Linked DNA regions of Bombyx mori. The protein of the gene in region 2 purifies or fractionates together with the protein of the main gene of each other region. This does not show direct contact. Links are inferred from orthologs where the notes say so. Each region holds a gene or a part of one and is shown on either strand. Other genes may lie near its edges.

Evidence for each region. The genes of interacting proteins can lie anywhere in the genome.
Region 1: the proteins of peptidyl-prolyl cis-trans isomerase H (region 2) and squamous cell carcinoma antigen recognized by T-cells 3 purify together in Homo sapiens (affinity purification with mass spectrometry; 3 studies listed by BioGRID and IntAct, with this or other methods). This does not show direct contact. The link is inferred for Bombyx mori from reciprocal best matches to the Homo sapiens genes PPIH and SART3.

The regions. Positions count from the first base shown.
Region 1 is NC_085122.1:6,475,699-6,479,770, reverse strand, and holds the start of squamous cell carcinoma antigen recognized by T-cells 3, read left to right. Parts: upstream 1-1,249; 5' UTR 1,250-1,363; coding exon 1,364-1,465; intron 1,466-3,081; coding exon 3,082-3,194; intron 3,195-3,415; coding exon 3,416-3,582; intron 3,583-4,072. UniProt on the Homo sapiens protein: U6 snRNP-binding protein that functions as a recycling factor of the splicing machinery. Promotes the initial reassembly of U4 and U6 snRNPs following their ejection from the spliceosome during its maturation.
Region 2 is NC_085116.1:6,472,097-6,475,116, forward strand, and holds peptidyl-prolyl cis-trans isomerase H, read left to right. Parts: upstream 1-1,377; 5' UTR 1,378-1,717; coding exon 1,718-1,801; intron 1,802-1,890; coding exon 1,891-2,067; intron 2,068-2,149; coding exon 2,150-2,443; 3' UTR 2,444-2,461; downstream 2,462-3,020. Other genes in the region: coenzyme Q-binding protein COQ10 homolog A, mitochondrial, read right to left, coding at 2,631-3,020. UniProt on the Homo sapiens protein: PPIase that catalyzes the cis-trans isomerization of proline imidic peptide bonds in oligopeptides and may therefore assist protein folding. Participates in pre-mRNA splicing.

The DNA of each region.
Region 1 (4,072 bases), on a different chromosome or scaffold from region 2:
TTCAAGCACCGGGCATCGTCCTCGTCTTGGTTCATGGCAGACCACTGAGTATCCCCCCGGATCATCACAATGGGTTGCAATTTCGGTCCAGTGGTAAATTCTGCGAAGCAAGCACTGCTTCTACTAGGGCTGGCGTTGACAAATTCTCTCAGGCTGAGCCCGTGAGCTTACCAACCAGTCCATGCGAAGCTAAATATAGGCCCGCATTTTTTTTTTACCTGTGCTGATAAACTTGAGAGGCTATTTCAGCTTCGCCCTAACATGTAGGTGAGCTCATGGGGCTCAAACCTGACGACGTTGCTAACATGGATCCTAGCAAGAGCCGTGCTTCGCAGAATCTACCACTGGATCTGAAACGCGGCCCACTGAGAAGATCCGGCGAGAAACTCAGTGGGCTGTGTCTGTGGGTTAATTTACTCGCCGAGCCCTTCGTCGCAAACTACGGGTTTGGCGAGGACGGTGACCGGTGCTTGAGGTACCTAAAAGCATCGTTAGTGGATGGGGAGGATCCGTAATGGTGTGTTTTGGGCGACGTCGACTGCTTTCCATTCGGTTCGCAGGATCGGGAATGGACTTTAGCCCCGTAGGCCACCAACCCGGTATATATATCTTATCTATGCCACTAGCAAATAGGTAGGGAAAAAAAAAGAAGATCCAAGTAGCTGTGACTCATTACCACCTGCGATAATTATAAGGTGAGACGCCTTCTACCACATTTACAGGCAACAGTATAGCCAAGGTAAGCATTGGAGTTTTGAGATTTTATTAATTTAGAGATTCTTTAGATCAGATTCTTCAGATAAACCTCAGGTCTGACCATTGGTGGTTTGTTCACTGTCTAATATTTCTAAAAGTCCACAAATATTGGAAAAAGGAACAAAATCTCCCAAATATTTTCTAAAAAGTTAATCCAATTTTCAATAATTTTCACTATTTTTCTGTAAGTATGTTTAAGTTCACAATTTGTTAATTAACCCGTTTTTCTTAAATTGCATGATAAGTAAATTCGATAGCTTCTCGGGATCTTCCAAAAAGTCTACGTAAAAAATCATCATTTCACTGAGACTATATTTTATCGCATATCATGTCGTTTCATAATTTTATCACAATTGAGTAATGTCTCAAATTAATCAACTTAATTTCATTTCGTTCCTTTTAGTTTTTATAAAACAGAAAATACAAAAATTAGGTTGTATGGTCGGATTTCGTTGCCTTTCCAGTTAGAAAAATGGAACCACTACTTTATTTTGACAATTGACAAATACCTCCACAATCACATTCTGCCAATCGCCATTATTCGTTCGTTTGTGAATTTAACAAATACAAAACTACACAGTTATTGATTACTCTCGTGTGATAAACAATGGCGATAGTAGAAGACGAAATTCAGAACGGTTCTGAAGGGGAAAATGAAATTGAAGTTGTGGTTGAAGAAGATGATGGCGACCAGGATCCAGATTCTGATGTAAGCTATTCTGATTTTAATTTACAAAATGATACTTTGTCTGTATTTCAAGTTAATTAGCCGGTTTTCATTTTAATACATGTGATTCTACGTTTTACCAAAGCAAATTATAATTTGTAATTATTAACTCCATTTAAAAATACAAATTGAACCTAATTTTGAAATCATAATACAATGTATCATAATAGAATGTAAACATGTTTTGTATATTTGCTTTCTTTAGTATGTAGCTGTACAAACTTAACTATAAAAATATCTACCTTATTGTGACACCAATAGCATATGTAAAGGGAAGTTTAAACAAATAAAAAAAATGAAATTTTGGTTCATTGTTTTTTTTGTTTATATTTTTTTAGTTTTTTATTACACAGATAGGTGGACGAGCTCACTGCCCACCTAGTGTTAAGTGGTTACTGGAGCCCATAGATATCTACAACGTAAATGCGCCACCCACCTTGAGATATAAGTACTAAGGTCTCAGTTTAGTTCCAATGAATTGGAATGAAAACGTAAACTCTGCTAATAATTGTAGGCACAAATGTCTAGATGTAAATTAAGTTTTGGGTCAATTTAAAGATAATATAATATAAAAGTATTTTCTTCATTTTTCAAAGGTCATAGATATAACTAAAACTTCTTTTATGATTTAATCGAGCAATTTAATGTCTAAAGCTTAAACTCCACTGGCATTTTGCAAATTTCACTTTCAGCAACAGGATGGACTCAACATATGCACTGTTAATCCCTGTGTTTCTAAGATATTTGTCTTATTCCTATGCTTCAAATACAATTCAGTTACATTTTTCATGGACACACAAGATAAAATTTATCAATAAATAAAATGAGAAACGTATAACTATTAAACAATGTTAAAATATATATAGTAAAATAATTTTCTGTGCTTATAATATTGTTATTATAACCCCACAGTTGCTGTCAAGAGGGTTGGATGTCCAAAATAAAGTTTTAATATAATCTAGCCAGTTGCTTTACAGTCTTGAAAAAAACGTTTTATTGTTATAAAATTTGTAGTTAGCATACAGGGTTGGGATGACACGGTTGCCTTGAATGAAAACACAACCCTTACTAATTAAAAATAAAAACATAAGATTTTAACAAAATAAGGAAATGAGAAGGTATTCAAAGATAATATATTGTTTGTATATGGTCCTCAAGTAATTGATCTTTTTTCTCAAGCAGTGTCCGACTTAATCTCATTAATTGAGTTTGAAAACATTTCCCGGCAATGTTTTTTATTTGTGATCATAATTCCATCAAAATTGACCAGCATTTATTGTTGAAGCCACATATTAATAAATAGCAAGAATTTCGTTGTGCACCTAATACATAAGTTTCACAAAATTATAAAGTTTATTACTATCTTCTTAAATGTAATTTACTGAGCTCATTAAATTATAATTCAAGGAAGTGAATAATTGAGAATATGGTCATGTGTATAAATTATTGAAACATAATCGAGTGATACAAGAAAAACTATCTTAGTAACTAGTTATTTCAAACCTCCAAGGAGTGTGAATATTTATTATAACTTGTGCAATATCCAAGCAAAGTAAAAATTGAAAATGTTTACAATATTCAGAAATAATAAATTTTAGGATGAAATATTGGAGATGGGAGATTGGCAGAGGAAAGTGGCCGAATATGAACACAAAATCACATTACATCCTTTTAATTATGATGATCACATTGAATTGATCCAGACTTTGTGGTAATTATTATATTGAATTTCTCAAATAAGTTTTTTTTTTAATAATTTGTTCCTAAAATGTTTTGATCAGAAATTTTCCTTTAATCAAATTTAATATTACTTCATTTAGAGCGGGGAATCCCAAAGTGTTTCAAATCTTGTTTTTTTATTAAACATGTGAGTTAGAATTTTATAATTTATAGATATGTATTTGCCAAAAACAAAGCATATCAAATTTTCAGGCGTCTATCGGAACTGGGGCAATGGCGAACGGCGTTTGAAAGATTATGGGAGATGTCAGTTATAAAAGTTGATCATTGGCTCTTGTGGCTCCGAACAGAAGAGAATATTTCACAGTCTGAAGAACTAATTGCCAATTTATTCTATAAGGCAACCTGTGATTGCTACTGTGAGTACATTTAACTTCAGAACATTTAAATTCTAACTGCTTTAAAAACGAAATATTTCGGTGTTTTAGTTATTCTAGCTATTCAAGTACTTTTTCTACTTAACCAGACAAAGCTTACCTTACTGTGAGTGGTAACAATTGCTCATGGAAATCACCAATGCTGGGGCAGTGGCCTGGATCTGAATACTTACTTCACTGGTGGTAGGGTTCTGTGTAGAAGCCCGCCCGGGTTGGTACCACCGTCCTGTCTATTTCTGCCGCAAAACAGTAATACTGTGTTCCGGTCTGAAGGACAGGATAGCCGGTGTAACATACATAAGGCTGCCCATCCAGGCCAGGATAGGCAGCGCATCTGAGTCACTGATGTAGTTTGGATGTCTATGGGCGACGGTTATCATTTCCCATCAGATGAGCCGTAAGATCGTCCGCCTATCGAAAGTAATAAAAAAAAAAAAAAAAATCCTACTGCTGAGGTTGCTTATCAAAAAAT
Region 2 (3,020 bases):
AATGAATGACTAAATATTAGAATCAGAAGGAGATTATTGTATGTCTGTATTTTAAACTATACTGATAACTATATAGATGTATATTTTGGAACTTTGCAATATTTATACTCTATTTATTATAATACTATATTTATATAATTAAACTTTATACTTTAAATTTCAAATATTTCATAATCAGACATAATTAAAATGATTACATAAAGTAACTAAGTTTTTTTGAAATCTAGATTAATTAACATAAAAAAGTAAACGAAATGAAACCGACCCAAAGTTTTAAGTTACACTGTGGTGGTTGTTGGCATTCACTTTGTAAGTATTCGTTCCGATGAAAACTTAATATCAGCCAAACATAAAACAATAAATAAATAAAACTGCAATAATATGTATACTTTTTTATCTATTCACTTGAATCGAAAATGAACATTCATCACATCCAATTATTACACTAGATTGCACAAAATTACTTTTATTAAGCACATACACCCCACCACATCTACAATCGTATAAATACACATTTTCATCACTGTCAAACACCATTTCAGACAGTCTTACTGTTTCATAAAGCAATAGATCACTATTTTCATGGCAACTTAATGTAGCATCATACTGTTTCCTGGTGCTAGGTTCTCTTAAAACTGACCAAGCTTTTTGTAATAGGCGAAACTTATTATCAGAATCATCAGTTTTATTTTTATCGGGATGTAATGTCAAAGCGAGTCGCTGATAACTTTTCTTCAATTCTTCAAGGCTTGCTGTTCTATCGCAATCTAGTATTTGATAATAATCAATAGGTAGGTCATTACTTTCCATATTTAATAAAAACTCGTAAAAGAGTTTTATTTATAAAAAATAGTTTACCTCTCTTTAATTCAATTGCTGTTCCCACTTCCCAGTCTTTGATTAGAATTTTTTTGTATTTTATTTATGGCCTGGCCCAGTCTTTGATTGATTGTTTGAAATTCATTCTTTATTGTATTATCTATAATTTGTTCATTGGACGGGCAAAAGGAGATAGACCATACAAATTTCAATACTCTTGTCACAAAACTGTAACCTTTAAATAAATATAAATATAATATATATAAATTTAAATGTATGTTAGGTAAGGGGAATAATGGAATTAAATTAATTGCTCATGGGATAAAATTTAAGGAAGTGAATTAAGAAAGACATCACCGTAGGTATTTGTTAGATAATAAATAAGGTTCCATTAAAACTTATAAGATAGGTATGGCGTTCAAATCTGAAGAAACGCACAATTTACGAAATACAATAATTTACACGACTTTGTCCTTCCCCGAAAAAAAGTCCCGCCCAATATACAATTGTTGACGAATAATACCATAGTCGTCTGTGATCACGAATACTTTATGTAGTTATTCTAAGCGTTAGAAATAATTGAAATTAAACGGTTAGGATAGTTTTATTATTATCTACGATTCGCCGAAATAGAAGAAACTGCTATAATCTTAAAATGTAACAAATTCGCTAAACGTGAAGTTTTGTCCTTTGAAGTCACCAGAAATTCCGTTTTTAGATCTGGACAAATAGGCTTGTAAGCTACCTAATGTCAAGGAAAGGATGTCAAAAGTATAACCTCAAAATTTGACAGCCGGGTAACAATAAACATCAAACAAACTAAAACTTATAGAAGTTTTAAATTGTTAACACAAATGTAATGTTGTTTTAGTAAAAATTTCAATATTAACACATTGAAATGCCTACTTGGAACCAAATACAGTCACAACTTAGGAATCCTAACAATCCAGTAGTGTTTTTCGACATTACTGTAGGAACAACGGTAAATACCTCCCCGAACTTATTGTTTTTTATTAGATTTAAAAGAACACACAAAAATTTATGTTTATAAAATATTTATGTTTATTTTAGGAAATAGGTCGTATGATATTCGAGTTATTCGCCGACGTAGTACCAAAAACTAGTGAGAACTTCAGAGAATTTTGTACCGGTGAATACAGGCGGGATGGTGTGCCCTTAGGTTACAAAGGAGCTACTTTTCACAGAGTAATAAAAGATTTTATGATTCAGGGTGGCGATTTCGTAAATGTACGTATTAAGTTTTGTTTATGATAAAACGATGCCTAACTGAACATGATGGAAGTTTATTAATATTTACTATTCATTTTAGGGAGACGGTACAGGCGTTATGAGCATATATGGTGGAAGCACTTTTGCAGATGAAAACTTTGGTTTGAAACATGACTCTCCAGGGTTATTGTCCATGGCAAATAGTGGTAAAGACACGAATGGCTGTCAGTTCTTTATCACATGTGCAAAATGTAATTTCTTAGACAATAAGCATGTAGTATTTGGTAGAGTTATAGATGGATTACTTGTCATGAGGAAAATAGAAAATGTACCAACAGGACCAAATAATAAACCTAAAATACCAGTAACAATATCTCAATGTGGACAAATGTAAATAAAACTTCACTTTAAATTTTATCTTTTTATTATCATTAAATCACAATGGCTCTGCCTCACATTTCTAACAGACTAATAGATAAAATATAATATTCACAAATTTTTACATAAAGTAATCACAATAAATACTCAATAATTATGTACACTGAATTGAACTAATTTTTTTGGTTTGCAATTAGTAAGCGTCAAGTTTTCAAAGTGTGATTGTTTATTAGTAACTTTCTAGGCTGCATTGTTGCCGGCCCATTGCGCCTTCCGACTTCTTTAATGAAAGCACCTTCCATTTGTCGAGCAACTTGGTCAAAAAACAAATTAGATAAATGTGAATGTATAGCTGATCTAAATTCGAATGTTATCTGGAAGTCCACAACACACGACTGCTGTTCTCTTTTTAGACCAGGACTGAATCTCCAAAGGGTCAACATATGGTGGAAGAGTCTTCCATCAGAACACTCTGCTTTTACCAAATGTGGTTTGACTAGCGTAACATTTGAAGTGTAGCTTTCATTGATAGGAGGAAAGCCAATGATCAAGTCCGCCTTCAGGTTTCCTGGTGTTTCTTTCAAAACTATAGA